Callithrix jacchus: one gene and its partner. The protein of the gene in region 1 binds, or shares a complex with, the protein of each later gene. Links are inferred from orthologs where the notes say so. Each region holds a gene or a part of one and is shown on either strand. Other genes may lie near its edges. The genes, in order: POLR1B and POLR1H.

The links.
Region 2: POLR1B (region 1) and POLR1H share a complex: the UniProt entries of both Homo sapiens proteins name them as parts of the pol I pre-initiation complex. The link is inferred for Callithrix jacchus from reciprocal best matches to the Homo sapiens genes POLR1B and POLR1H.

Annotation. Positions count from the first base shown.
Region 1 is NC_133515.1:22,047,424-22,063,388, reverse strand, and holds the start of POLR1B (DNA-directed RNA polymerase I subunit RPA2), read left to right. Parts: upstream 1-5,511; 5' UTR 5,512-5,543; coding exon 5,544-5,720; intron 5,721-10,036; coding exon 10,037-10,204; intron 10,205-10,423; coding exon 10,424-10,570; intron 10,571-11,886; coding exon 11,887-12,019; intron 12,020-12,146; exon of another isoform or gene 12,147-12,544; intron 12,545-13,581; coding exon 13,582-13,718; intron 13,719-14,486; coding exon 14,487-14,710; intron 14,711-15,355; coding exon 15,356-15,527; intron 15,528-15,965. UniProt on the Homo sapiens protein: Catalytic core component of RNA polymerase I (Pol I), a DNA-dependent RNA polymerase which synthesizes ribosomal RNA precursors using the four ribonucleoside triphosphates as substrates.
Region 2 is NC_133505.1:34,790,873-34,807,036, forward strand, and holds POLR1H (DNA-directed RNA polymerase I subunit RPA12), read left to right. Parts: upstream 1-9,046; 5' UTR 9,047-9,089; coding exon 9,090-9,160; exon of another isoform or gene 9,161-9,326; coding exon 9,327-9,481; exon of another isoform or gene 9,482-9,559; intron 9,560-9,718; coding exon 9,719-9,819; intron 9,820-10,025; coding exon 10,026-10,135; intron 10,136-12,181; coding exon 12,182-12,206; 3' UTR 12,207-12,408; downstream 12,409-16,164. Other genes in the region: E3 ubiquitin-protein ligase PPP1R11, read left to right, coding at 14,366-14,760, 16,049-16,157. UniProt on the Homo sapiens protein: Core component of RNA polymerase I (Pol I), a DNA-dependent RNA polymerase which synthesizes ribosomal RNA precursors using the four ribonucleoside triphosphates as substrates. Can mediate Pol I proofreading of the nascent RNA transcript.

The DNA of each region.
Region 1 (15,965 bases):
GGGAATGAGATGTCAATAAGATGTTTCGAGAAGCTTCAACCTATTCCTAAGGATACAGAGGCCACGCCTGTGTATGGCTGTGCACATGCCCAAAGAGACCTGAGAATTGTCTAGCTCTCACATCTGTCTGACCTTAAGGGTCTGCGCAAGCAGAAAGAGAGGACAGAAGCGGAGGAAGGGTGGGGAGGAAGAAAAGTAGGAAGAAGTGAAAGAGAGAGAGGAGGAAGGAAAAAAAAGGCAAGCAGAAAGAGGGAAAGGGAGGGAAAGAGGGAGGGAGGAAGGAAGGAAAGGAAGGAGGGAGAGAGGGAAATTTATAAAAGGGAGGGAGGGTGGGAAGTTTATAAAATAGAACCAAGTAGAAATTTTGGAGTTGCAAAGTACAAAAATATGAATGAAAAATTTACTTGACAAGTTTAAAAAAGGTTTGAACTGGTAAAAGAAGGAATCAGTGAATTAGAATTTGAGATGATCCTGTCTGAGGAACAGAAAAAAAAAAAACCAGCAAAGAAAAATGATCAGTACTTCAGAGACCTGTCAGACACCATCAAACATACCAATGTACATATAATATGAGTCGTAGAATGGAGAAGTGACAGAGAGGGAATGGGATAAAATATATTGGAAGAAACAGTGACCAAAACTTTTCCATTTTGATGAAAAACATTAAAGTAAATCCAAGAAGCTCAAAAAATTCTAAGTAGGAAAGACTCAGAGTCCACCTCAAGACACACCAGCCACTAAGAAAATAATTTTAAATATATAGTAAAAAAAACAAGACAAATATTACACTTAAAAAATATCTATTTAAGAAAAGAGAAGGAAGCAATGAAAAAATGGAGAAAAAAGAGGCATAGGAAACAAACAGTAAAATGGTAGCTAAATCCTGCCTTATCAGTAATTTGATTAAATGCAGATGAATTCAGCACTCCAATCAGAGGGTAGAGATTGGCAAATTGATTTTTTTTAAATCATGATCCAACTATGTGCTAGCTACAAAAAAACACACTTCATTTTATTTTTATTATTTAGAGACAGAGTCTTGCTCGGTTGCCTAGTTTGGAGTGCCGTGGTGTAATGATAGCTCACTACAGCCTCAAACTTCTGGGTTCAAGTAATTTTCCCACCTCAGCCACCCAAGTAGCTGCAACTATGGGTGCTTACCACCATACTTGGCTAATTTAAAACAATTTTTTTTTAGAGATAGGGCCTGACTTATTTCAAAACTTGCCTGGCTATCATTTCACATAATGATCTCCAGTTCCATCCATGTTGTTGCAAGTGACAGGATCTTATTCTTTTTATGGTTGAACAGTACTCCATTGTGTATAAGCACTATGTATTTTTTCAGCCATTCATCTGCTAATGGACACTTAGATTGCTTCCAAATCTTGGGTACTGTAAACAAGACTACAATCAACATAGGAGTGCAGATATCTCTTTAAAAAATTTTTTTAGAGATAGTGTTGTACTATGTTTCTCTGGCTGGTCTTGAACTCCTGGCCTCAGGCAATCCTCCTGTCTCAATCTCTCCTAAGTAGCTGGGATTACAGGCATCAGTCAATACATCTGGCAAAACACACTTTAGATTCAAAAACACAAATAGCTTGAAAGTAAAATGATGGGAAAAGATACATCATGCAAGCAGTAACTCAAAGAACTGGAGTGGCTATACTAATATTAGACAAAATAGGCTTTAAGAAAAAAGTTGTTCCCACAGACAAAGAAGGACTTTTTTTTATATAGTTCCAACTTATATTTTAGATTCAGGAGGTACATGTGCAGGTTTGTTACATGGGTCCTGAGGCTGGGGTACCGATCCCATTGCCTAAGTAGTGAGCATAGTACCCAATAGTTAGCTTTCCAGTCCTTGCTCCCCTTCCTCCCTTCTCCCTCTTGTAGTCTTTCTCCCTCTTGTAGTCCTTAGTGTCTCTTGTTGCTAGCTTTGTGTCCATGTGTATCTAATGTTTGGCTCCCACTTATAAATGAGACCATGTGGTATTTGGTTTTCTATTCTTGGGTTATTTCACTTAGGATAATGGCCTCCAGCTCCATCCATGTTACTGCAAAGGACATAGTTCCATTCTTTTTATGGCTGCACAGTATTCCACTGTGTGTGTGTGTGTGTGTGTGTGTGTGTGTGTGTGTATCACATTTTCTTTATCCAATCCACCGCTGATGGGCAGCTAGGTTGATTCCGTGCCTTTGCTATTGTGAATAGCACTGTGATAAACATATAGGTGCATGTGTCTTTCTGGTAGAAAGAATTGTTTTATTTTGGATATATACCCAGTAATGGGAGGCTGGGTCAAATGGTAGCTCTGTTTTTTTATTTTTGTTTTTTTGATGGAGTCTCGCTCTATCACCCAAGCTGGAGTGCAGTGGTGCTATCTGGTCTCACTGCAACCTCTGCCTCCTAGGTTTAAGTGATTCTCCTGCCTCAGCCTCCTGAGTAGCTGGGACTACAGGTGTGTGCCACCATGCCCAGCTAATTTTTGTATTTTTAGTAGAGACAGGTTTCACCATGTTGGCTAGGCTGGTCTCGAACTCCTGACCTCAGGTGATCTACCCACCTCAGCTTCCCAAAGTGCTAGAATTACAGGTGTGAGCCACCATGCCTGGCTGCTCCATTTTAAATTCTTTGAGAAATCCCCAAACTTCTTTCCACAGTGGCTCAACCAATGTACATTCCTACCAGCAGTGTATTAGCATTCTCTTTTTTCCCACAGCCTCTCCAGCATCTGTTGTTTTTTGACTTTTTAATAATAGCTATTCTGACTGGTGTGAGATGATATTTCGCTATGGTTTTGATTCGCATTTCTCTGATGATTAGTGATGATGAACATTTTTTCATGTTTCCTGGCCACTTGTATGTCAAGGACATTTTAGATCGATAAAGGGATCAATCCATTAGGAAAATATGACAATGATAAACATATGCACCAAGCAATACAGCCTAAAGATACATGAAGTAAAAACTGAGAGAACTGAAGGAAGAAACAGGCAATTTAACTACAATAGTTGGAATCCTCAAAACTCCATTTCAGTAATAACTGGAGAAACTAGGCAGATCAACAACAAAATAGAAAAATACAATAAACCAACTAGACTTGACAAATATCTGCAAGGCACTCCACCCAACAGCAGCAAAATACACATCCTTCTCAAGTGCACATGGAACATTCTCTGGGGTAGATCATGTGCTAGGCTATAAAAACAAGTCTCAGTAAATTTAAAAGAATTGAAGTCGTACTATACATGTTTTCTATGTTGGAATAAAATCAGAAATCAATAACAAATTTTGTTAATTTCTGTATTAATGAAGAAATATACAAGTAAGAAGGTCAGACTAATAACAATTCCTTTTTTTTTTCCTTTTTTACCTACAAAGCATGAAAATCTTTTTTTTTTTTTTTTTTTTTCCTGAGACGGAGTCTCGCTCTGTCGCCCAGGCTGGAGTACAGTGGCACAATCTCAGCTCTGCCTCTGCAAACTCTGCCTCCCAGGTTCAAGTGGTTCTCCTGCCTCAGCCTCCCGAGTAGCTGGGACTAGAGGTGTGCACCACCACACCTGGCTAATTTTTTGTATTTTTAGTAGAGACGGGGTTTCACCGTGTTAGCCACAATGGTCTCAATCTCCTGACCTCGTGATCCTCTCATCTCAGCCTCCCAAAGTGTTGGGATTGCAGGTGTATTATTAGTCGTGCCTGGCCCGACTAATAATAATTCCTTTAAAACTTCCCACAGGGAAAAGCCCAGGACCAGATGGCAAGGAATTAACACCAATATTTCACAGACTTTCCTAAAAAATAGAAGAGAAGGAAATAATCCTCAGCTAACTTTATGACTTCACTCTTAATACTCTGATACTAAAACCAGACAAAGATGTCACAAGAAAAGTAAATAGCATACCAATAGTCTCTTAGGAATACAAATAGAAAAAATCTTCAACAAAATACTAGTCAACCAAATCCAGGAACATAGGAAAAGGATTATACATTATGACTTATCCTAAGATTACAATGTTTGGAATAACACATGTTCTTTTGTAAGTGGGAGCTAGGCTGGGGGTGATGGCTCACACCTGTAATCTCAGTACTTTAGGAGGCCAAGGTGGGCAGATCACATGAGGCCAAGAGTTTGAGTCCAGTCTGGGCAACGTGGTTAAATCTCATCTTTATTAAAAATACAAGAATTAGCTGGGCATGGTGGCGCATACCTGTAATCCCAGCTACTCTGATGGCTGAGGCACAAGAATCACTTGAACTTGAGAAAAGGAGGTTGCAGTGAGCCAAGTTCATACCACTACTCTCCAGCCTGGGTGGCAGAGCAAGACCCTGTCTCAAAAAAAAATTAAATTAAAAAGTGGAAGCTAAACATTGGGTACACATGGACATAAAGATGGAACAGCAGACACTGGGGACTACTAGAGCAGTGAGAGAAGCAGGGGAGCAAAGGTTTAAAACTACTTATTGGATACAAAACTACCTATTGGAACTTGGGTGACAGGTTCAACCGTGTCCCAGACCTCAGCATCACGCAATATACATTTGTAACAAACTTGCACAGGTACCCCTGATTCTAAAATAAACGTTGAGAAGGGGAAAAAAGAATGCAAAGCTTGTTTAACTTACAAAATTTACTTAATATACCACTTTAGTAGAAAAAAGGAGCAAAAAGCACATGATCATTTCAATATACACTGAAAAAGCATTTGGCAATAACACTCTTGGGAAGAAAACCTCTCAACAAACTAGAAATAAATTACTTTCTCAACTTGATAAAGAGCATCTTTGGAAAAACCCACAGCCTACATCATATTAATGGTGATGTGAATGCTCCAGTTGGGAGCTTTCTTCCAACATCAGGCACAAAACAAGTATATTTATTCTTGTCCCTTCAACATTGTACTAAATGTTGGACGCCCCCCTACCACAGCCTCTCCATCTGAGACCGCCCGACCCCTACCCCACCTCCTTCCCCGGGCCTCCCCCAGGACTCCAGTCCAGACGATGCGGGGAGGTTAGCGGGCCCGACCTTGGCCTTCCAGGGGTGAGCCTCGCGATTTAGGAGTTGGGTAAAGAGCCCGGGGCCCGGCATCCGATTTTTCATTGAAACAACGACTTTGTCCGGATGACTCCCCAGGGTCGGCATCAGCGTGGGACTTGGAACAGGTTAAGGGACCGGATAGATGGGAACCTGAGAAGACCGCTTACCTCCAATCCTAATTGACTGAGCCAATGAGAGCCAAAGAGGTCACACGCTCAACTGGGTGAGGAGTGGGTTTCGCCTTCTTTAGCAGAGGAGGGAGATGCGTGGAGCGGAAGATGGGAGAAGGGGCGGACCCGCCACGCTCTGGCTGGATACAGCTTTAACCGGCCCGTTCACTCGACGGTTTTGGTTCTACGTCGACCCCATAAAAACCGTAGGGCCTAGGGCGGGCGGAACAAGAGGGAACTACATTTCCCAGCAGGCTGCGGAAGCGGGACTCCGGCCACTACTTCCGGCGCGTACTGAGCGACGGGTGTTAGGTGTGCAAGTAGCCGCATGGATCCCTGCAGCCGGTGGCGAAACCTTCCCAATGGGCCTAGCCTAAAGCACTTGACCGACCCGTCTTATGGAATCCCGCGGGAACAGCAAAAGGCAGCGTTGCAGGAGCTGACGCGGGCTCATGTGGAGTCCTTCAACTATGCTGTGCACGAGGGTCTCGGCCTCGCGGTGCAGGTGAGTGCGGCATCCACTGGCGCCCTTGCCGCGGAGAGACCAAGCTCGAGGCTGGCGGGCGAGAGGGGCCAGGCGGAGCTGGAGGAGGGAGGGGCGGGGGTGAGGTCTGGGCCTTGTGGGGCGCGGGCGGTGACAGGGTCCCAGAGAAATGGCTCAGAGGCCACAGTGTGACCCAAAATGCGTTTGCTCCTTGATCCTGACAGGCTCAGAGGGTAAGCGGGAGAGCACACGTGTTGAACAAGACGCAGAGCTGGGCCTCGTGGAACGTGTATTCGAGTCGTCTAAGAGATGTATTCGTGATTTCTGGATTGAAAAGTGATTGCGAACCATAGTTTCTTGTTGGATAGTTTCTGGGTTCTGTGAGAGTGAGGAAATGGCTTATTGGGGGTGTGCTTCCCAACCATTCACAATGCACATGCCTTTGTATCACTTGAAGACACCTCTCCAAAACGTACCTCAAAATATTCTGAACGTATTTGTAGGTACAGTGTAATGTACAAGGTTATCCTTCAGTTTCCTTTTCTTAGAGCTTTAAAGAGAGAAACTACTCATTTGTTCTGAATTAAGTAGGTGCTAAAGAAGGTATAAATGAGTCGTAAAGGCAAGATTGAATCGAAAAGTGTAATAGCATTACTAGCGTAGGGTAATGGTAGCAGAATTGAGGTGAGGATGGTGGGGGAAAGTTTCGTTTAGTAAGTATCCCCAGTGTCTCTAGGCACTAGGCTCTGAGGATGTGAAGGCCGCAGTCCCGTGTAAGAGACAGTTCATACATTTAAGTGGTCCCTGTCGTGTTTTGGGGTTAAAGGAGTGAAGATAGGAAAGTAGTCCATGCCAATACGCGAGCACTGCTCTGTCAAGGGATTTTATGGGCTACTGTGGGAGCATATAGGCAGCGCAACTAGTCCAGGAGTTTGAGAAAAGGCAGGATTAGATGAGTTCAAGAGGTGAGAAACATGCATTCCGTCCAGGGGAAGAGTAGAGCAGAGTCACATGCTTAGGGGACCCTACCTGTGGTTTTGTTGTGTAAGATTTGTGTTGTGAGAGATACGGGTAGAGATAATGTGAAGAGCTTTGATTGCCAGTCTGATACTTGAACTCTATTCCGCAAATAATACGGGAGGCATTAAAATTTATTTTTTGGGAAGACAAGAGTGGTGGGGATATTTGTATGTATTGTGCCTGGATTCTTAGAGTATCATGTCTGTGAGAAAAAATACCTAATTAAAAGTTAATTAGACCAGGTACAGTGGCTCACACCTGTAATCCCAGGACTTTCGGAGGCCGAGGCAGAACGATGGCTTGAGCCAGGATTTCAAGACCAGCTTGGGTAACATAGTGAAACCTCGTCCTCTGTAAAAGTTAAAAGATAGCAGGGCATGGTGGTGGGCACATGTGGTCCCAGTTACTTAGGAGGCTGAGGTGGGAGGCTAACTTGAGCCCAGGAATTCAAGGCTGCAATGAGCTATGATTGTGCCACTGCACTCCAGCTGGGGTAACAGAGCGAGACCTTGTCTTTAAAAAAAAGATAATCAAATTGAGAAATTTTAGAAAAGCACTAATTCGGGCCGGGCGCAGTGGCTCACGCCTGTAATCCCAGCACTTTGGGAGGCCGAGGCAGGTTGATCACGAGGTCAAGAGATCGAGACCATCCTGGTCAAAATGGTGAAACCCCGTCTCTACTAAAGATACAAAAAATTAGCTGAGCATGGTGGCACATGCCTGTAATCCCAGCTACTCAGGAGGCTGAGGCAGGAGAATTGCCTGAACCCAGGAGGCGGAGGTTGCGGTGAGCCTAGATCGCGCCATTGCACTCCAGCCTGGGTAGCAAAAGTGAAACTCCATCTCAAAAATCAATCAATCAATCAATCAATAAACCAATTGATTGGGTGTGGTGGCTTTTGCCTGTAATCCCAGCACTTTGTGAGGCTGAGGCAGGCGGATCACTTGAGGTCAATCAAGAGTTCCAGACCAGCCTGGTCAACACAGTGAAACCCTGTCTCTACTAAAAATACAAAAATTAGCCGGGCATGGTGGCACATGTCTGTATTCCCAGCTACTTGGGAGGCCGAGGCACGAGAACCGCTTGAACCCTGGAAGTGGAGGTTGCAGTAAGCTAAGATTGCACCACTGCACTCCAGCCTGGGCGACAGAGCAAGGCTCTGTCTCAAAAATAAATAAATAAACAGAAATAAAAATAAACCAATTGTATGTTAACATTTTTATGAAAATCATTTTTCAGAGCAAAAAAGAAATTAGATGAATTGCATTATTAAAAATCTTTTTAATGTCTGGCTTAATGAAAAGACAGCTGGATTCTCATGTCTGCTTCTGCATTCAGCTCCTTGTGATACATTGTTTTGGTTGAAGTAGATGAAGAAAATTTGGCCCTGCACAGAAAATAATGTCACAACTTATCTAGGACTGTAATAATAACATATTTGAAAATGTTCTGTAAAACACAGTAAAGTAAATGACTACTATTTATAAAGCCAAGGGGAAAAAAAAGTTTTATCATATTTTTATGTACTTACAAAATGTAATTTTGCCTACTTTCTTTGGAGTGAATTCCTCTTGTGAGTCAGAATTTATGGGTCTGTCTTTTCAAAATATTTTCAAAATACAATTGATTTTTATTACTTGGGGAGTCTATCTTTGCAAATTTACCCACTCACTAAAATTTACTTGTACTGCAAAAGCACCGTGCCCAGAAGCAGTGAAAAAGTTGAGTTGTTCAGTATCCATTTTTCCAGCTGAGATCCAACAAGGTGATGCTCGGCCTTCTTGTTTTAAGTTTATAAACTATAAACAGGGGTCATCTTCACTATTATTTAGTGCCTTCTTTGTGCTTTTTGTTGGGGATTTTATTGTTTAAAATGGCCCCCAAGCAAAGTATTAAAGTTCTGTATAAAGTTCCTATCCCACAAGCTGTGCCTTTTGGGGATAATATTAATACATGCATTTAACATAGGCTTTTTTCAAGCCTGAGTTAGGGACTCAGTAATATATATTAAATAGGCTGCCTTTAAACAGAAACATACATAATGCGAGATTGTGTGTTGATTAGTTGATGAAATGTGACCAGAGGCTTACAGGAAGCTACCCATGTATTTACCCTAGGAGCAGTGGTTCAGTATTGGCTAATTCAGTGTTTATGGCAACTGTATAGAACATAACATTGTGAATGACAACAATTCACTGTATTTAGATCTAAATAGTGCAGCTGTGTCTTGAGAAAGCAAATCCTGTAATCTTTCTTTTTTTAAACTAATACTCCATTCTTTTTTTTTTTGAGACAAGATCTACTTTGTCACCCAGGCTGGAATGAAGTGGCATGATTATAGCTCACTGCAGCCTCGACCTTCCAGACTGAAGTGATCCTCCCACCTCAACTTCTCAAGTAGCTGGGACCACAGGCACACACCACTATGGCCAGCTAATTTTTTTATTTTTATTTCTTTGTAGAGACAAGGTCTCCCTATGTGGCCCAGGCTGGTCTCGAACTCCTGGGCTCAAGTAGTCCCCTGCCTCAGTTTCCCAAATATTGGGATTACAGGTGTGAGCCACTGCACCTGGCTTTTTTTTTTTTTTAATAAAATATGAAATTCTAAAATAATACCAGCTTTAGATAAAATTTAAATATTTAGAAAAGGTCAGTTAACTCTCGTGAGGGTGGAGAACCTCATTGGTATTCTTTCTTGGCTCCATTCTTTTCATTCTCATTATTCTAAGACTAAGGCTAGGAGGTTGCCTGCAATGAATATGTAGGAGAGCTTGGTGACCCCTCTTCCTCAGAACAGCAAAGCTTCCTCCACAGAGTGGTGCAAAGAAGTAACTTCTGTGGAAGGGGAAACCCCCGCTGGCCACCATCTTTTCCTTTTCATGGCTCTGGCTCCAGTATGAAGTAACCATTGTACATTAAGCATCTAGTCTTAAGTCCTAAAGGTTGTTTCCATATCCTTGCTTTATTAGCAGCAGAGCTCATTTGTCTTGCTACACACATAGACAAGGTAAGAATACACAAGGCTCTTGGTTCGGAGAACAGGAGCTTTGTTCTGTTCATAGCTGTATCCTTAGAGCCTGCTACAGTCTCTGACACATAGTAGGTACTCAAATAAAATCTTGAGCTAATAATACATTGTGGCTTTATGCATTTAGTGAAGTTATAAGTAGAATGGAGGTAGCCTTAACTGTCTTTTAGGTGTGTCATGGTAGCATCACAGGTACCAGTGTTTGTAGAACATGTAAGATTTGGAAGAGTCTTAGAGAAAAAGTGCCTTGGAAATGCAAACAGTTTAATACTGTGAATTGCATTTCAGGCTATACCTCCCTTCGAATTTGCTTTCAAAGATCAACGTATCTCTTTCACTATTCTGGATGCTGTTATCAGTCCACCTACAGTTCCAAAAGGGACCATCTGCAAAGAGGCCAGTGTTTATCCAGCAGAATGCCGGGGCCGAAGGAGTACCTATCGTGGGAAGTTGACAGTGAGTACCCTCACAATGCACATATTTGGGACTAGGGCAGGTGCCTAATAAAGTTTATGCCAGAAATTGCTTTCATGATGCTGTTGTCTAAGAGATCCCACCTTCTAAATCTAAGGCATAAAATCATTTAATTGATCTTCCTCATTCTTTGAAAATACTCATTTGTTTTCTCAGGTGCAGATATTTCTGTTAAGTAATTTTGTCTCTCATTTTTTTTAGGTCGATGTCAACTGGGCAGTGAATGGAATCTCAAAAGGAATCATTAAGCAGTCTCTGGGCTATGTTCCCATCATGGTGAAGTCCAAGCTTTGCAACTTACACAACCTTCCCCCACAAGCCCTCATTCAGCACCATGAGGAGGCAGAGGTAATCACGGACATCCAGGTGTGAGACAGTAGAGAAGGCCTGAGTTGGGAGTAGGAAGACAAGAAGTGTGTCAGTGGGGGCCACATTTTCTTTCTCTGCTCCAGTTTCTGGATAGGTGAAAGAGATATCAGTATCGTGCCTGCACGCAGGCTATGGCTCTGAATGGCATCAAATTAGACAGTATGAAAAAGTGGCTATAAAATTAGAGAATATTATTGGTTGGGGGAAGAATTGGTAGGTTTTTCTGAATGATAAAGATATACTTCCATGAAATTTGTTTTTTTCAAGCTGTCTTAACCAACAAAGCTATTGGCAAAAATGTTTGTTTAGCTGGGCATGGTGGTGGCATGCACCGTTAGTCCCAGCTACTTGGGAGGCTGAGGCAAGAGCACTGCTTGAGCCCAGGAGGCCTGATTACAGTGAGCCGTGATTGTGCCACTGCACTCTAGCCTGGGAGACAGAGTGATACCCCATCACTAAAAACAAAATTAAAATGTCTGCTTTAATAATAGTAAGATTCTATGTGCATATTTAATGACTCATGCCTTCCCTTCATCATTTCTTTCAGCTGTATTAGGTGGCTTTGCAGTGTTGCACTGAGGTAATCAAGACATACAGTCTGTGCCTACAGTAGAGGCAGATGGTGTTATGTGGCGGGAAGAGGGTTTTGGTGTCAGATCTGGATTTGACACACAACTCTTCCACTTATCAGTCATGTGGTTGGGGAGGTTAATCTCCTTGAGCCTCAGTTTCCTCTGCTGCAAATGGCATAATAGCTATCCCACTCATTGTTATGAGAATTAAGTGTTATGGTGACATAGAGCATCTAGTATAATAAGCCTGTTTCGTAGCAGGCAATTCTTAAATAGTAGCTCTTTATTACAAAAATGTAATATTGAGTGGAGCTATTAAAAGTATTTTTTTGAACTTATTTGGGAAACCATACTCGAGTATTGAAGCAAAATGGTTACCGTTTTTATCTTTTGACACCTCTTTGGAGTAAGTTTTTTTTAGTGTTATTTGAAGACTGAAATCATTTTAGGGGACAGAAAAGCAAGTTAGGTTGAGCCTGTCTAATAGAAGTACCCTGTTTTTCTTCCATACTTTTCTCCATGTCCCTCAGACCTTTGTAATCTACTTGAGAAAACTTAATTCACACAAAGGCAGTGTCTGTGTACTGTGTTCTCAAAGGATCAGTAGTACTTTTCACCTCTGTGCTCCTGTTCTGTGTGTTGTACTGCCTTGGGCTAGGAATGAGGTTCATGTTTACAGTCATGTATCTTTGTTTAACAAATTGTAATTTATCTCTTTGGTAGGAAATGGGGGGCTATTTTATAATCAATGGCATTGAAAAGGTCATCCGAATGTTGATTATGCCTCGGAGAAATTTTCCCATTGCAATGATAAGACCAAAATGGAAAACCAGAGGGCCTGGTTATACTCAGTATGGTAAGTTCTGGAGATTACTAGAATGTTTTTTAAGGAAAATTTAAAACCTTTTTTTTTTAAGTAGATGCATTTAAATAGTCTTTGATAATTTTCTTTTTTCTTTCTTTTCTTATTTTTCCTGAGATAGAGTCTCACTCTGGCACCCAGGCTGGAGTGCAGAGTGGTGTGATCACAACTCGCCATGGCCTCGACCTTCACAGGCTCAGGTGATCCTCCCACCCCAGCCTTCCAAGTAGCTGGGACCACAGGCATGTGCCACCATGCCTGGCTAATTTTGTAGAGATGGAGTTTCACCATGTTGCCAGGCTGATCTCGAACTCTTGGGCTCAAGCAGTCCTTCCGCCTCAGCCTGCCAAAGTGCTGAGATTACATGTGTAAGCCACCATGCCTGGGCTTTCTTTTGTTTTTTGGGTTTTTTTTTGTTTTTTTCTACTGAGCATTCCTGTGTTAAGTTTTCGTAATGGGGATGGAAGAAGAAATGGAGAGATGTTAGTCAGAGGATACAAACTTGCAGTTACAAGACGAGTAAGTTCTGGGGATCTGATGTACAGCCTGGTGACGACAGTAATACCGTATTGCTTACTTAAAATTTGATGAGTAAATTTTAGGTGTCTCAACCACACACACGTGCATACATACAAATGATAACTATGGGTGGTGATTGATGTTTTTATCAGTTTGATTGTGGAAATCATTACATGTATATGTATATTCAAGGTATTGTCCACTTTGAATATATATGATTTTTATCAATTATAAGCATTTTAAAAAATACAAAAATTTCACGGTAGAAAACCTGCTATTATGTTTTACCTGTGCAAACTGAAAGAGCATGTGTATTTTTGTTATTGCTTATGAAGATGAAGGCTAGTCTGCCTTGGCCATAGGTGAATGTGGGTCTTAGATGTCTTCAGGTTCAGGCCACTGTGGCACACCCCTCAGGGTCTCTGTCTGACAGCCACCTGGCCTCTGTTTGAGCACTCTCTGTGACAGTGCTTAAGATAGCATGTTGCATTCTTGAGCTGCCTTGAAAGTTAAACAATTTGTCCTGATAGTTGAGCTAAAAATCAGATTTTAATTGTAGTAATACGTACTGTACCTAGAAAAAGAGCATGTCAGAATGTCTAGTCATTTTCTTTTGCCTGAGTTGATAGTGGTATGTCTTAGCAGTCTTTGCCTGAAACTGAAATAAACTTAAAATCTAAAATTCTACTTTTCTCCATTGGCACTATTAGATCAAACACCGTGTCTTGACCAGACTCCACAGTTTAAGAGGGATATAAAGTGCTAAAAGATGTGGACTCTGTCCTGGAGGAAAACTTTGAAGTTTGCTTAAATTCATAGCTTCAGTTATTTTACAGTAGTGTTTCTCAATCTGGGTAGATTTTGCATGCAAGAGGACATTTGCTAAGTTTTAGAAACATTTTTGATTGCCATTCTTGGCTAAACTTAATGATTTGGCTTTAATTGTGTGTAAGGAGGTAAGATTGTTCAGGAAAAAAATGATTGAAGCAATTATAGAATCACTGAGTTTCTGATTTTTTTGTTGTTCGGTTCAATAGGAGTTTCAATGCACTGTGTGAAAGAAGAACATTCTGCTGTCAATATGAACCTCCACTACTTGGAAAATGGCACTGTTATGTTGAACTTTATTTACCGGAAAGAACTGTTTTTTCTTCCTTTGGGATTTGCACTTAAGGTATGACTTAATGAATGCATTCTTTTGTTATGAAGAATTCATTGAAGGTAGTATCCTGTGCAGATGGGATGTATTCTTCTTATTAAAATAACATACTAGTTATCTACTGCTCCAAAACAGATTACCTCAAAATTCAATACCTTAAAACATCAATAAACATTTCTGTCTCACAGTTTCTGTGGGTCAGGAGTTTGAGAGTGCTTTGGCTGGACATCTGTGAACCGGGGTCTCAGGAAGTTGCATTGAGATGTCAGACAGGACTGCAGTCATTTTGAGGACTTCCAAGGTGGCTCACTCACATGGTTGGCAAATCAGTGCTGGTTGTTGGCAGGTGGTCTTCTCATGGGGTTGCTGTCTATATGGCCCTTTCTATAGGCTGTTTGAGACAGCTGTCTTCTTCCACGTAGTTAGCTGAGAGAACAGAGCAGAAGATGCAGAAGGCAAAAGCTGCAATGCCCTTTGTGACCTAGCCCTGGAGTCTCCCATCATCTTTTCCACCACATTCTCTTGGTCAAGCAGTCCAGCCTTGATTCAGCATGTGAGGAAACTACACGTTTATGAACACCAAGAGGTGAAGAGCCTGGAGGCCATATTGCTGTCTGTCTATCATACAAAGAATGCTTTATTTAGAGTTTTCTTTGGTTCAGCATTAGCAGAGTGCTAATTTCCTTGGGTATTAAAAAAGAGAAGATAATTGTTACTGAATAGATGAAATATTTTAGTTATTAGTGAGAAATTAAAAAGAAAACCTTTTATTTTCTGTTCTAGGCACTTGTCAGCTTTTCCGATTATCAGATCTTTCAGGAGCTCATCAAAGGAAAAGAGGATGATTCTTTCTTTAGAAACTCTGTTTCTCAGATGTTAAGGATTGTAATGGAAGAGGGTTGTTCCACACAGAAACAGGTCCTTAACTATCTAGGTGAATGCTTCAGAGTAAAGCTCAATGTTCCTGACTGGTACCCAAATGAGCAAGCTGCGGAGTTCCTGTTTAAGTATGTGTGCTTTGCCTGAACTGTTTCCGAAGGGGCAGAGGGCTGTCAGTGGTTCTTTGTATTCGTTGCAGTTTGGGTGGGTGAGTCATCTGGGAATGAGAATGGATCTTGGGGTAGAATTCTGGTCCTTGCTAGCTGGGGGCTGCCTTTGATTTTGTGGCTGTTCTCACCTTTATTTTTTTAGTAGTTGTGTTTTATTTTATTGTCCCAACTTTTATTTTGAAATCATTTCTGACATCCAGAATAATGTCCAAATAGTACATTGGACTCATATTCACAAATTGTGAACATTTCATTAACTTACATTTGCTTTTTTACTTGCTGTATACCCAGATGTACATTTTTCTTTCTGTACTGTTTGAAAGTTGCAGGCCTTGTGTCTTTATTTCTTCAAAGCAAGGACTTTGTCTTATATAACCACTGTGTAATTACTAAAGGAGCCAGCTCCATACCAGTGCTGTCCAGTACGCAGACACACGCCGCATGATGAGCACTTCAAATGTGGCCAGTGCAGGTCAAAAACTGAATGCTTAATTTTATTTAATTAAAGTTAAGTAAGCATGAATTAGCGGTCTTGGTTAATAGAGCATTAAGTAGTATTACCAACTAGATTGTTTTAAGCTTTCTTTTTTTCTATTTTGACAGCCAGTGCATCTGTATCCACTTGAAATCCAATACTGAAAAGTTTTATATGCTTTGTCTTATGACACGAAAGCTCTTTGCTTTAGCCAAAGGAGAGTGCATGGAGGACAATCCTGATAGTTTAGTGAACCAAGAAGTCCTTACACCGGGTCAGCTCTTCCTTATGTTTCTGAAGGTAAGTGCGTACCGTATCCACCCTTGGCCCGTGGTACCACTTGTGGAATGGTGTGACTGTCCGGCTGTACTGTTTTCTGCATGTTTATAGTTCCTAGTTTTGGCATCTTGCGTGGTCTCTTTTTGTGTATTCATTTAACAGTAAGGGAATCAAAAATCCTAGCTTTCACCAGGTTTGGAAATTTGCTTAAGAGTTTTATATAAAGACCATATCAAATCTTGGTCATAGTGTTAATGATAAAAAGCAAGTGGCCTGTATTCAGACATGTGGTTGATCCTCATTATTTGTAGGTTCTGTGTGAATGCACTCACTGACTAAAATTTATTTGTGACCCTAATATCACTTCTTGGTGCTTTCATGATTATTCACACACATGACAGAGCAGTGAAGAATTTGAGTCTCCTGAGGCAAATGTTACAACTGAGGTATGGCAGAGTA
Region 2 (16,164 bases), on another chromosome or scaffold:
GGGAGTTCGAGACCAGCCTGACCAACATGGAGAAACCCCGTCTCTACTAAAAATACAAAAAAATTAGCAGGACATCGTGGCATATGCCTGTAATCCCTGCTACTCGTGGGGCTGAGGCAGGAGAATCACTTGAACCCGGGAGGCAGAGGTTGTGGTGAGCCAAGATCATGCCATTGTTCTCCAGCCTGGGCAAAAAGAGCAAAACTCCATCTAAGAAAGAAAGAAGAAAGAAAAAAGAAAAGAAAAGAGAAAGAGAGAGAGAAAGAAAGAAAACATAAAAGGAGACTCCTCATCCCTTCTCTGGAGACCCTTCTGTTTAGAAATAAAACTTTATCATGCTCCAGGTGACTTGGAGAGAGGACATGTGGGTGACCTTTTCTAGAAAGCAGTGGAGTGAAAGTTTTGGGAAAAGTAACAGAAAGAGAAACAAATCCTGAATTTACGGTAAGCTCATTTAAATCAACTAAGTAAACAAATATTTTAGTACCTCAACTGAAATATAAGCATAAACAAAGGTTGACTATGATTGTACCTGGACAGGATGAGTAAGAAGGCAAAGTGGTCTGTTATCAGCAATTTCTGTATTTTGGTCCTGGCTCTGCCTGACACCGTTGTGTCTCTAGCAGTTAACACATGTCCCTCTTTCTTTCAACAAATATCTATTAAGTGGCTAACATGTGTCAGACTCTACAGAACAGGCTTAGAAGCATAATGCCACAATGAAATAGAAATCTAACAGGCTCCAAGATCAGGCTTGTCAAATAAATGTACCACAATTTATATATCATATATACGTCTGGCACACAGGCACCAGAACATGAGATTAAACATGTTAAAGGAATGTTTATCTAAATATTTTTAAAAGAAAAATAAAACAAAAACTGGAAACCAAATGATACCAACAGAATATATAATTTAGTTGTGACATATTCATGCCATGGAAATGAACTACAGTGTCACACATCAACATGGATGAATCCAAAAATAATAATGAGCAAAAGTAATCATATACTGTATAATTCTATTTACATAAAGGCTATAAATAAGCAACTGTTGGAGATACATAGTAAAATCTATAAAAGCTAGGTGACAATTATACAAAATTCAGGATAGTGGTTGCCCCTAGGGGAGGGGGAGGGAGATATGAATGGGGAGAGCATACTAGGCTCTGGGATGTAGTAATGTTCCATTTCTCAGTCTGAGCAATGAGCACCTGGACATTTATTATTGTTCTTCTAAATAAACATTTTCATTTGTATATCCTATTTCACGATAAAAAGAAAAAAAGACCCCAAAAAAAGCATTAAGTGTGACTAAAGATTTAAGCAATGGTGCTTGGGAGTATTATCATATCATGCAGACACAGTGCAAGGAAATGAAAAGGTGGATATAATTTGTGAGGTAGAGATGATGGGTTCAGGTCTGCACAAACTGAGCTCCTGAAACACAGACCTTTATTCTTAGTCATATTAGGTATGAAATTGCCCTCAGATCACCAGTTGCTTTTATGCTAGATATGGAAGGGAAAAGGGGGAGTTGTGCAATTTATGTGTCCAGCTCTGAAAATCTTCATTGTAAACAATTACTAATAGGTCATGTGTTAGGTTACTTTTCAGCCCCACTCAGCTCAAAGGATTTGTCATTACCCTACTGATTTGCACTTTTAAGTCTTCTGCCTGTTGCATTCTGGTGATCCATTTCTAAGCAAGATATAGAACCTAAAGCTGAGACATAGTGATAGAAGGCCAGAGAACAGACACAGCAGCAAAGTTTACATGAGGCAAATCAGGAGGGTAGGACTGAGATTCTGATATGCATCCTGGCCAAATTCCAGAACTAGCAAAGAGAGGGCCAGTTCCTAATTCCAATCAAAGCAAATTCAGCCCTCTTATTTTCACACAGAAGTGGTCTATCTTGATTTTTAAATCTCTTGAAGGGATTAGGGAGCCTCTGAAATATAAAGGAAACTAAACTGACAGTAATGTAAAATGAATAGTGACCTATCATACCAGCAAACACTGTCAAAAACAGTAAGCTACTGGTGGGACTGGCCAGAGTCTAGAACACAGGAGTTATGTTTATCCAGTGCCACACTGTACAACAAAGCAGTCACTTCGCACATGTGGCAACTTAAATTTAAAAGAAATTCAATTAAACATTCCATTCCACAGCTGCACTAGCCACATTTTAAATGCCTCAATACCCACATGTAGCGAGGACTACTGTACTGAAGAGCAGAGGCACAGAACATTTCTATCATAACTGAAAGTTCTATTGAACAGCGGCTGACCTCGCAATATCCAGGGTAAAGGGTGTTCTGCTGGTAAAGCAAGTGGACATCAGAATTATCACAACTTAAGCATAATATTCCTGAGGGCATCCATTTCCATGTATTTGCATCTCTGCTCCTCTACTCTGGATCCCTGCTTTTCCAACTTTCTGGTATGTTGGAAGAAAATAACTGACTAGAAAACATAAATTTCATTCTGCTTTACAAGTGTAATTCTCACTTAAATTTATAAATTTACTTTCTGATTTATCAGTGAGTGCTGGAGGCCCGAGTTTGAGAAAGGCTAAGTTTGATTACCCCTGAATAGGTCCAAACATCAGGAAGGTCTTGCTTAAGTGGGTGACAGAAAGTGACAAAAAGAGCTGGAAGGAACGTGAGAGACTATTACACTCCCTTCTCTAACCTTTCTCCTTTTCACCCTGCTCACCTGAGCCAGGTTAGAATCCGTCCTTTGTACAGCACCCTGTACCTTTCTATGGCAACCTTTACTACATTATGTTTGTAGAGTGATCTATGCCATTACGAAAACTAGTCAAGGGCAGAGACTTCTCTTTATTCACCTTCAGTAACTAATACAATGCCTAGGGAAAAGCATGTAGGAGGCTCTCTAAGTTTCTCATACAAATAACTTGTATGGGGCAAATTACATTTTTAGGGCCTGGCTAGTAGTTCTCTGATGAAGGTATGATATTAAAGACAATATACTAAAAGATAGCAATCTCATCAAAATAACCCTTGGAGAGCTGGGGAGCAGGGAGAATAAAAGAAGCAGTTTAGAACAATTCTTCATTCACCATCATTGCCCAACACCAGTCTTCCCAAGTGGGGAAACTAATAGTTATGAAACAACTAATATATACTTACATTTCACAAAAACAATCGTCTTTCCAAAATGCTAGCAAATATTACTATTGCCACTTTAAAGATGAGGACACTGAGGCTGGGCACTGTGGCTCATGCCTGTAATCCCAGCACTTTGGGAGGCCAATGTGGGTGGATTACCTAAGGTCAGGAGTTTGAGACCAGCTTGGCCAATATGGTGAAACCCCATCTTTACTAAAAATACAAAAATCAGCCTGGTGTAATGGCAGGTGCCTGTAATCCCAGCTATTCGGGAGGCTGAGGCAGAAGAATCCATTGAAACTGGGAGGTGGAGGTTGCAGTGAGCTGAGATCACACCACTGCACTCCAGCCTGGGTGACACAGTGAGACTCCATCTCAAAAAAAAAAAAAAGCAGGGGCGCTGAACATTAGAAAGGATATAAAACTTGAACAAATGCAAATCAACTAAAAATAGTTAAGCTAATTTTCAAGTCCAGAACTATCTTCTTTTTTTTTTTTTTTTTTTTTGAGACAGAGTTTCGCTCTTGTTACCCAGGCTGGAGTGCAATGGCACGATCTCGGCTCACCGCAACCTCCACCTCCTGGGTTCAGGCAATTCTCCTGCCTCAACCTCCTGAGTACCTGGGATTACAAGCACGCGCCACCATGCCCAGCTAATTTTTTGTATTTTTAGTAGAGACGGGGTTTCACTTTGTTTACCAGGATGGTCTCGATCTGTTGACCTCGTGATCCACCCGCCTCAGCCTCCCAAAGTGCTGGGATTACAGGCTTGAGCCACTGCGCCCAGCCCAGAACTATCTTATATATCTGATACACACGGAAATATTCACTGAACCCCAGGGAGAAATGAGAATGAGCATTTTAAAAAGAAAAAGGTTCACATAAGAGATATAATTTTATCATAACAGCATTGAAAGTTTAATCTCTTATTTTTCCCATTTGACTTCTTAAAAAGGGTGGCATGGTCAAGAATTCTCTTTGATATGGTTTCATAATTGTATTCACTTTCTCTCCATCCTGAGACTTTTCCATAAGAATATTCACCTTAATCCGACTTCTACTGCATGGCTGGAAAAGAGGATATGCAATAACTCTTTCCAACTCCTTTATCTCTTTCTTTACTCTCTCATGCTTCTCACATGTAGGTAGTTGGCTCTGGCTTCTTCTCAAGATTCTTTCCTTGAGTCTTTGCTCTGTAAGTGCTCTCCCTTGAATCATGCGTTCCTGGTGATCCTAAATTTGCATCTGTTTCCTCTCATTTACCTGCTTTCTTCTCTGTGCATTCTGGATGCCATGCCCTTCTGGCATAATTTTTGGTAATTTTGTTTCACTGGGGAGTTGTAGCACTTGTCTAAGTGATTTGTTCTTAGATTTTCTAGCCTGTCCTGTATGATGTATGTGCCTTTCTATGTGTTTCATCTCTCTCTCAGGTACCAAATAATACTGTTTTAGTCCTGTGCTTTGGGTTGTTTTCCCCTTCATTTTTTTCTTGATTTCATTGCCAGTCTCTTCTTTCATCATTTCCAGTATTCTTTTATGATGAAAAGACTCTGCTTTGGCAACCAGTAGTCAAGAGAAAGAGCTTTCTCCCTACAGAGTGTTACATACTCATCTTGATATTTCTGAGCTACCAACCGTCTTGCTGCTGTTGTATGCAGACCACCTAGATTCTGTCAAAGTGAAGTTAGGAATTTACGATATGATCATCTTTTTCCTTTGAGAACACATTTAAACAAGATCCAAGCCCACCCTCCCTACTGACACCAGGAAAAGCTAGATGCTCTTTTACTTTAGCTCAATAATTATTATTTTTATTCCCATCACTCGCAGGTGAGCCTGTGAGCTCTGAAAGCATGAAGTATTCACTACCACAAATCAATAACTAGTTTAAAAAATGCATGGTGTTCGAAGTTTTCAAAATGATTTTTTATTTTGCAACTGTGGCTATAGCTGGGAAACATCTGCCAGTGTAGACATACTACCGGAATGCGTCACTTGGGCAGAAGGATTTTAAACCTAAGATTCCTTCTCTGTGTAGTTCTAAACTGTACAATATAAAGACAGTTTACTTACCAAGATCTTTTTCTCCAGTGGAGACTGCTGACCTGCAGCAATCCTAGGATCTTTAGATGAAGTAGCCCAGGCCAATCTGGAAGATAAAAAAACAAAGGTAAATTAAAATGTAGGAGGTGTCAGAACAAAGTTGCTAATAGGCAGGACTACAGCAGGGCCATTGCCCCCATGGGAAACCAGTGCATTCCTGTGGTGGAAAATAATGAATGCTCTTCTAAAAAGAGGATCTTTCCTTTCACATGAACAAGGATACTTTTCCTGTGGACTCAGTGTGAACCACTGTGAATCTTGTATTGGGGATTGTGAGTGGGAAGAGACATGCTCCTTATTGAGGTGTTGTCCAAGTACATCTGTGTCAGACTGCTCAGTCCTCAAGCCTCCTCTGTGTTCTGAGATGATTCTAGGTCCTAGTTTTCTAGATGATTCTAGGTTTCTAGTTTTCTCTTTCTGTAGTTTCTTGATCCAAGCCCTCTCTGCCTCTATCAGCACATACAGCGTTTCTGCCCTCTAATCTTTTGTTCTGAAATTCTGCTTTTTTTTTTTTTTTTTTGAGACAGTCTTGCTCTGTTGCCCAGGCTGGAGTGCAGTGGCGCCATCTCGGCTCACTGCAACCTCCACCTCCTGCTGGGTTCAAGAAATTCTCCTGCCTCAACCTCCCAAGTAACTGGGATTACAGGTGCATATCACCACACCCAGCTAATTTTTTTGTATTTTAGTAGAGATGGGGTTTCACCATGTTGCCCAGGCTGGTCTCTAACTCCTGAGCTCAGGCAATCCACCTGCCTCAGCCTCCCAAAGTGCTAGGATTACAGGTATGAGCCACTGTGCCCAGCCTGAAATTCTGTTGTTATTTGATTGCCCAGCCCTCTGCTTGCCTGCCTTCCAACGCCAATCATCCTTTACCCTAAATCCATCATGAAACTGTTCCCTGTTAGACTCCTCAGGATGGGAATTTGTGGTTTATTTGTAGAGAAGGCTGGTAGCAACACAAATGAAAACTATCAACTTTTATGTGTCATCCCTGGTCAAACCTGAGCTTACTGTGAGGTCATATTTAAGTCACTGAGGATGCCTGGCATTTCCTCTCTGTGCCTTTTATACCATTTACAGCTCAAAGGATGGGCTTTAGAGTCTGACAGGGCTAGATCTGAATCCTAATTCCACCACTTCCTAGGTGTGAAACTCAGGGCATGTAAATTCTGTCAGTTTTCTCATCTATAAAATGGAGACGTAAGACAAAAATCTGCCTCTCAGTGTTATAAAGAACAATTATGAATTCAAGGTAAAGAGCTTGGTAAGTTCTCAATAAATTCTATCTGTCCTTCACAGGTCAAGCTCCTGACTATAAAGTCTTTCTGCTCTACTCTGTCACAGTGATTTTCCCTTCCTCTAAACACTTGGCATATTTTAATTCTATAACTCATTTGAAAATTAATCATGACTTACACTGATATCTGTAGTCATATATCACTTTTAACATTTTGATGCTGAGATTTAGGCTCATGAGTGGAAAACTGTAATTTGTATCTACAATTGTGATGCCTCTATATTATTGGAAAGGACTTGATATCAAATATTTGGTCTCACTCACCTCTTAGGAACATTCTTATTTGCCTATGTAAGCTTATTTTGAGATTTTAAAAGTATGATCTTACTTTTACTTCTCTGTACATGGCTTCTAGCACAGTACTTAACATTACAGTCTGTGATCCCAAGTTCTCAAAATTAATGACTTTGTTGATTGCTGATGATCCTTGACACATATCTGAACATCTTTTTAAATATTTGCCATACATTGTATCTATCTTTTTATTAAATCATTTCCCAGTCCTCCTTGAAGTTTACAGACATGTTTTCTTTATATGCATGTTCTGGGCTCTCACATTTTGTACCTACTAGCACACTTTTATTGTATCATAATTATTCATTCATGTTCGTTGATGTCAGAGAACACATACTTCAACTTCGCAGCCTCAGCTCAAAACCTGGAATAGTTGCTCAATAAATACTTTGATTGTGAGCTTTTCTTGGGAAAAGGATATGCCTTGTAATGCTTTGTTCCTTTACTGAAATTCACAGGGGATGTTAGCTGAGTGTTTTTCAAATTAAAAAAAAAAAAACTGAGGAGGGCAGAAGGCTAATTTCAAGTTCCATTGACAAAGGACGCAGACACACAGATAAGTGAGAATAAAAACTGCCTATGACAATCAGCTCAACAACACATCTCCCTTTGTAAGACAAGACAAAATAACAAGCCATTTCACAGTTAAGTGATAGGCCTTGTCATTCTTCAGCAGTTTGAGTTTTAACCCTTTCGCTATGGTGTTCTCTCCATTACAGAGAAAGGCAGATGGGAGCCTCTTCCAACGAAAGACTACAGCTTCTGTCCTTCACAAGAGAAAATAGTGATGGCTTAATTATTCACAAGTGATCTTAGTTATTTATAGGTGATCTTAATTCTTTTACTAATGCCTCTCAGGTCTCAGGCCGGAAAGTGAGAACCTGGGGTGACATTGTGAGGGCAATGACCCTAAAGCAAGACGCTTTACAGCAGCTATGCCTGCATAAGGGCGACTAGGGCCGCCTCTGCTGTGCTACCGCGTCAGCACTGAGAAAATGCCCGCTGTTGAGCCAGCTAGGGAAGGAGGCGTCCAAAGCTGGCTGAGACGTCTCATTCACCGGGGGAGTTAAGCGAAAACTCCACTCCTCCAATCTCTTGCCTTAGGCCTGACAGCTGTCAGGTAGACCCACAGGCATCCGGGGGCTTATTTGTCTCTATGTGATGCTGTGCTTCAGTGGTCACATTCCATGTCCACTCTCATGTCCTACTTCTGTACCAGGTTCCTATTTTCTTAGAAGAGATAATCAGTAAGAGTAATATAAACTTAATGTCTTTGTTCTTTCTTAACAAGTATGGAAAAGTGCTAACGCATTAGGCTCCTTGCCTCATCCCGGCTCCTAGAAATTCCTGGGTCCGTACCTGTATGATATGTGATGTACTTGACCCTATCACTGCTACGCCCCATCTACCTTTCCCCTGGTTGCTGACCACCAACCACCAATGCCACACCTACTTACCCTGCCCTCAGCTTTGTACTCAAAAAAAGTCAGAATGCGCAGACACGACCGGGGCCACTGCCGGACTCCGCGATCTGGCTGGCAGTGAACCCCCCCCACCCCACGCCACCCCACCCAAACTTTCTATCTCTGTGTCTTATGTCTTTTATTTCTGGTTTCTTTTCTCCACACCAACAGAGAGGGGCTCACAGAACCCTGTAGGGCTGGACCCTGTACCTCCTGACTTCACCCTCACCACTTGCGGTCCCTCAAGAATCCGACTTACCCCTTACAAGCGGCGAACTGTTCCCAAAGCACACAAGGCTAGTTGCGCTCTGCTGAAAGCCCACGTTCTCCAGCGGGACCCAAGGAACACTAAAACTGTACGTCCCAGAACACTTAGCTTTCTTTTTAACTACTCTGCAGCCGCAAAAGGGAAAAACCTGCTCAGGATCAGGGATAGTTGTAGTTCTCTAATCCAAAGAAATCAGTATTCAGCAAAATACAGTTTTCAGGGGGATATCTCCCGGGACTCGGTTCCTGTAGGATGTGAGACAAAGAATAAATATCCGAGGATTGGGTACTGGTGGGAAAATTTGCTGGAAGCGCAGCATTGGCTACGAATTTTGTGCTCAACGTCTCAGCACTAGGGTGAAAGTGAAGCCGCAAACTCCCTTCGGAGAGGTTAGGCTCCATCTCTAAGGCTCCCGAGACAAGGTTCGCAATTATTTATGACGTCACAACCAATTGTCAGCCCGAATGCGTGACGCTCTAGCCGGCTCTAGCTCGCCGCTGAGCGGCGGGCGTAGAGCTGCCGCTCTAGCCCATGGAGTTGGCTCGCTCCTCTCGCCGGCCCCAGGAAAGGGTTGCAAGTCCTTTACTACCCGACGCTAGCTGGTAAGCCATTCCGGGCGTTTCAGCTCCCTGGTCACAGAGGCAGGAGGCGTGCGTGGGAGGAGAGCTCGGGTTATATACTCCCAGGTACTGGGACAGAACTGTTATGACCTCTGTGTTGGGGGGATTCCTCTCTTTTTGTTAATATAACTTCTAACTCCCTCTTCAGGCCTGACCGCATATGCGTCATGGACCTAGCCAGCACTTGCTCCAGCTTTCAGTCGGACTTGGATTTCTGTTCAGAGTGCGGCTCGGTCCTGCCTCTGCCAGGGGCTCAGGATACGGTTACCTGTACTCGCTGTGGCTTCAACATCAACGTTCGGGGTGAGAGGCTTGTACGCAGTGGTCCTGGCGGAGGGTCCAGGGTCGGAAACTTGGGGACCTCAAGATCGGCAGGGGACCCTAGAGCAGGAGATCAGGCAATTGTACATTTGGTCTCGAGATGAAAAATGAAGGAAAGGATATAGGGCTTCCTGGCCTAACCAGTCAGGGGAAAGGGGAGGTTTCCGGTGTCAGCTCCCTCTGGTTGTCTCCATAACCAGTTCTTACTTGCCTGTGCAGACTTTGAGGGGAAGGTTGTGAAGACTTCAGTTGTGTTCCACCAGCTGGGGACAGCCATGCCTGTGTCGGTGGAGGAAGGGCCTGAGTTCCAGGGACCTGTGGTAAGTTAATGAGCTCAATGACTGGCTCCATAAGGTGGGTAGGAAAGAAACGGAGGAATGATTGCAGAGATCTGGAGAGTTGTGTGCCCAAGTCCAAGAGGGAAAAGAGATGTAAAGCATCCATGTTTGAGAGGAGTGATCGCCTGATTCCTGTGGGAAGTGAGGGGATATGAACTGGCCTCCCTAACCCACCGGTTTCTTCCCAGGTTGACAGGCGCTGCTCTCGATGTGGTCATGAAGGAATGGCTTACCACACCAGACAGATGCGTTCAGCAGACGAAGGGCAAACTGTCTTCTACACCTGTACCAACTGCAAGTGGGCATCCCTTCCCCTCCCTCTGCTCAGTCTGTTTGCTAACTAAACAAATCCAGTGATTCTGTTGTTGTTGTTCTAAACCACCATTTCCTTTCGTCCCATTTCTGTGCAGTTCTGGTAATAAGAACATTTGTGGTTGGTTTTTTTTTTTTATTTTTTTTATTACACTTTTTTCTTTTTTTTTTAGTAGAGATGGGATTTCTCTGTGTTTCCCAGGCTGGTCTTGAACTCCTGAGCTCAAGCGATCCACCCACCTCAGCCTCCCAAAGGGCTGGGATTACAGGCATGAGCTACCCTGTCTGACCTACTTTTAGGATATATAAAAGGAAATGAAAAAACAAACAAACAAAAAACATAAGAAGCAGGTATTGTTTAGTGGTCGGCATCTTATACTGCAGTCTTCAACTGCAGTCAAGGTAGCTTTACATTGGAGAAAATTAGTCACGCACGATTTAGGGAACATGGGCTTTCTGAATTATTTTAAGACATCATCTTTGTCTTTGGTGTCCTTCAGTCACTACAGTATATAAAAATGTGATTTTTTAAAAATTCCGTTTGGGATTTGTTGCACTTTCTGAAACTGAGAGTGAATTTTTTTTTTTTTTAATCAGCCTTGGAAAATTATCAGCTATCATCTCATTTAATATTGCCTTTCCCCCATGTTCCCAGTCCTCACATTCTGGACCTCTAATTAGTTACAAGAAGAGAGGTGTCTCTTTTGTCCTCCATTTCTCTCACCCTCTTTTCATATTTCAATCGCTTTTCTCTTTATGCCACCTTCTGGGTAATTTCTTCAGGTCCCTCTTCCATGTCACTAATTCTGTCTTCAGTTTATTTTAAATATTATTTTTTATTATTGCTATTACTTTGAATTCTATTTACTTTTCAAATCTCCTCAATTTTTAAATAATTTTCAGTTCCTTAATCATATTTTAAATTGTTCATTCTTTATATATTTAAAATATTAATTATGGTTATTATAGTCTATGTCTCATAATTCTGATATCCATGGATTTTGTCTTCTGATGCTGCTGTCTTTTGTTTCTGCTCTCTCATGGTGCCTTTTTTCTGTTTTGTGATTTTGTCTATAAATTTGAGTTTTTTAGAACTTGAACTGTAGGAATTCTTTGAGACCTTGAGTGAGTGCTGTATTCTCAGCATTTGCATTTCTTTTCCTTGAAGCACTATCAAGCTGGAATTACTTTAAATAAATTCTTGGCTTCATGTTTTTTGGAGCAGACAGATAGTATGAATTTGAGCTGCAAATCCACGTAAGGGTTAGCTTATGGTTAGAAATTCTCAGGAGAGAGTTTTCTCTCCTGCCTACTAAGACAAATTCCCCTTCTATAGAGTTGAATTTTTTCTTTTCTTGTTCACTTTTACAAAAAAGGGCAGCTCTTTGCAGTTCCCAAATTTATGCAGGGAATCTCCTATCAGACCTTTTACATTTTGTCCCTCATTTCCTATGCTTTCAGTGACCGTCATAACAGTATTAAGGGCACCATAGTGTCACGTTTCATTGGGACTTCAGTTTTCACTGTCTGGATTTCTGGTTTTGCATAACTTTTACCAGTGTGAAGTTTGCCTTTACTTTCTCACCATCTCATCAATGGATTAAAAATATTCACAGTCAGATATATCTTTTAAGAGTATTTTTTCCTATCGCTGGTTGTCATTTTACCAAAAAAAAAAAAAAAAAAAGATTTTTTTTCCCTGACTGTGGCTTGCCTATTTATTTTCTTAACCCTCTTTAAATGAGCAGAAGTTTTAAGTTTTTATGAGGTCCAGCTTATCCCTTTTTATTCTTTTACAGCTAGTGCTTTTTGTGTCCTAAGAAACCTTTGCTTTGAGGTTATAATTCATTGGATATATTTTTAATCCCAGCATTTTTAGTTGTCTTGGAATTGGAATTGGAGGATTATTTAAGGGAGCTAGTCCTCAATGATGTCGTAAATAAAAGTCCTTCCTTGATTATTTAATTGCATATCTTATACTACTAGAAACTCTTCTTTGAGTGAATATAACAAGTCCTTTCTTTCCTCATAGGTTCCAGGAGAAGGAAGACTCTTGACCTTTTTTCTGGACAACTCAACAGTCCCTCCCTCCTTTTGGAAAGTGAAGGATGCTGGGTTCTTCAATGCCTTATCCATCCCATCTGGTTGCAATGTTTTGCTCCCAGAAGAGAATCAGATCATCATGTGGGGATTATCATTGTTCCCAGAGTACTCTTACCTTTAGTTGAATTTCCTTATTAAAGTTATATTTTTCCATAAGACCCTGACATATGTATGTTACTTATAATCTACCTTATTCCAAAAGGAATTTAAATGAGTTTACAGAGATATATGAAAACGAAAAGGGGGAAAAATAAGGACAAAAAAGTAGAGTCAGAAATGAGGCTAATGTAAACAAAAAGCAATTATAAGTATTGCCACTCTACTTAAATCTATTTGGTTCCTGAATTTAGGGTAAGAAAAACTAGGAATTTGGAGAGTGAGACATTTCACAGAAATTCTGACCAGATCTCTTCAGTATATAAATTTGGACAACAAAAAATCTACATAATACCACTAAGTGATCACTACAGGTGGATATTTTATTACTGAGATAAATACAATATACAGTTGACTCTTGAACAACACGGGTTTGAACTACTTGAGTTTACTTATGTGGATTTTCTTCCACCTCTGATACCCGTAAGATAGCATCACATTTAAGCCCTCCTTTTCCTCCTCCTCAGCCTACTCGACATGAAAATGTGATCCACTTCTACTTAGTGAATAGTAAATATATTTTCTTTTCCTTATGATTTTCTTAATGTTTTCTCTAGCTTACTTGGCTGTAAGACTGCAGTATATAATGCTATACAAAACGTGTTAATCAACTGTTTATGTTATTGGTAAGGCATCCAGTCAACAGTAGTTAGGTTTTGGGGGAGTCAAAGTTATATATGGATTTTCAGCTGTTCAAATGGTGAGCACCCCTTATCCCCACATTGTTCAAGGATCGACTGTATATTATAATAGATTCCTATATAGTAACATAGAAAAAAGTAAAGTCACAAGGAATCCTACTCCACAGAGATAACCAAATTATACGGTGTATCTGTGCTTGTGTATATGTATGTGGCTCTATATATGTGTGGTGCTATATGTGTTTGGTTTTTCTTAATGGACTATACTAGATATGCTGAACTGTCTTGCTGTTTTCTGTTTGGACCAAAAACTTTCAAGGGGAACAAATACATACTCAGGTTCTGCATTCTTGGGCTTAAATGGCGATCGAAGGGTTCAGTAATAATTATCACATAATTGTATGGCCCTTTATATATATTCAGAGCTCTCAAACAGCTATCTTGTTTGACAGCAACCTGGAAAATGGGTAGGGTAGTCTTTCCCACTGTACATTTGAACTGTTGCAGCAGTTGACTTTCCTGACCCACTCCTGAAATCTGAAACAAACCTATTCATGTTTCTACCCTACTTTAAGCCTTTCTCTGGCCCATAACACTGACTGGATTAAGCCCAAGTTTCTTAGGAAAGTATTCAGATCCTTGCATATAACCACTACTTACCTGTCAAGCTTCATCTGGCAGTCCCTCAGATCCAAGCAGTACAAAACTCCATTTCCTGTAGTACACACATCTACAACTTTGTAAGCTGCTCTCTAAAACCTACTTGTCTGCCTTCCTGGTTCTTGTTTTACCACTTTCTTTTGCCCTCTTAAGAAACGTGCATATATCTTTATAAAACGGTCTATACTGTAATTTATGACCATTTCTCTGCTTCATCCTACTCATCACCCCAGAGAGAATGTTGGCAGTAACTAAATTCAGATTTACAGATCAGACTTGGCATTTGTTAATGCTCCAATACTTCATATTTTTGTCAGTTTTCCGCTTGCCTACCTTTCCTACTAGAGTGGGAGCTAAAAGTCAGGGTCTGAGTGTCTTACGCGCCTCCATCTTCAAGGCGTAGCACAGTGACTGGGAAAAAAAAAAAAAACACCCACGTTGAACGTGCACTAAACTGCCCTGCTCAAACACCTACAGGCACGAGGCGAGGGCTAGGACCCACATCACTTGAGTCTTAAGTGTGTTTCCAACTGCTCCCAAGTTCCTTTTTCATTAGAGAAACCCAGACGAAACAACAAGGAAAGGGAAATAGGCCACGATAGGGTCTATATTTCTCCTCAAGTTTCCTCGCCCGTCCACTCACCCAGACAGGGTAAATGGACTGCGGCAGGACTCAGCCTGGTGCACACACCTCGCCCTCGTCACACCCACTATGCAGTTTCTTGCCCGGCTGTACCCATCTGGGCGCCTCTCCTGCTTCCTCTAGGCTGTGCAAGCGCGAGCTGCCCTTGACTCTCGCCCCGCCTCCGACACCGGCAATGATACCCCTTCCGCCAAATTTGTTTCTCTTTCTTGCAGCGCCTGCGCGCTGTCACGTTACGGCGGAACTAATCCAGCGACGCCTGCGCTTTGACGCATTTGGTGCCGGGGAAGGGAAAAAGGAGGACTGCAGAATGCGTCACACCCGGAAGCAGAGAGCCGGAAGTGGAGTTGGCCAGGCTATCCCGAGGGGTGGAGAAGCGGAGGCCCAAGAGGAGGGGGAAAAAAGAAGGTGGAGGATCCTGGCTACCACTCTGAATCCGATACCGCTTCTCTTAGACCTCAGAGACAGAAAAAGGGAAGGGTGTCTTATCCCCCTTCCTCCTCTCATCCCTCTCCTGAGCCTTAGCCATGGCCGAGGCAGGGGCTGGGCTGAGCGAGACCGTCACTGAGACAACGGTTACCGTGACAACCGAGCCCGTGAGAAAGGCGGGGGGCGGTGCTGTTAGGGGTCTGGGAGATACTGGGAGGGAGGGGACAGGGCTGAGAAGAGTTGCTGGAGGAGCTGGGCCTGGGGATATGGGAGGTGTGGGGTTGGGTATCTGGGGCTGGGAGAATCGGAAGGTATTGGAGCTATTTGGAGTGGCAGAGATGGTGCAGGAGGCTGATCAAGAGACGTAATAGGGAGGTACAGTAAGGATATGGATGTATGCTGCTTGGGTTATGTGTATAAGTAATGAACGAATGGGAAATTGAGGATTAAGGAGCCAGGAAGATGTTGGGAGGAAATCAAAGGTCGTGTAAGATAGCACAGTTGAAGGCCAACTTATCAATATTATCAATACTTATCATAAATATTTGTTGAATGGATGAATGTAAAAGGAAGTGACAGGAATGAGGAAACAAGAAAATTAGATGAAAACAGGCATTTTGAGAAATCAGAGAGCAAAGATGTAAATGGAGAAACAAGAAGTATTTTTCCAAAAACATGTTAAGTTTCCTTCAAAGGGAGAAGGTTGCATTGGGCTTAATACTCTTGGATTAAAGGGAGTTTAGTAATTAATAGATTAGTAATACTTGCTACTAGAGATGCCAGGATGCAAGGGAATGGGCGGATAAGAGGTAAGGAGGGCTGGAGCTTGAGAATGAGAGTTGTTGTTGTTGTTGTTGTTTTTAATGGGAAAAAGAATAGGGGATCTGGAAAAAGGAAAGGAAATCAAAGATTAGGTGCTGGGGACCGAAAAATAATTTTCATGTATTCATACTACCAAGGATGATTTGGGGAGGAAGACAGAGAAACAGCAAGGATTATATTTTCCTTCAAAGAGTTGCTGGGACCTTCCCTAGGTTAGCAATTGAATCCTCTTATACTGGTGGTATAAGAACAGGAAATAATACTATTCCTCAAGGGACTCCCTGAGGTCAAAGACCTGTTCTGTTTTATCTTGTCTCAGCTCCTCTGGTGCTATGTCTATGGTACTGATTGAACTAAAGAAGAAAAGAGAAAAGGTTCCCTGGGAGGGAGTGGGAAAGGTCAGTAGGAAGGAACTAGATAGGTACGCCCATCCTTAACCTTCTAGGAGAACCGGAGCCTTACCATCAAACTTCGGAAACGGAAGCCAGAGAAAAAGGTGGAATGGACAAGTGACACTGTGGACAATGAACACATGGGCCGCCGCTCATCAAAATGTGAGTA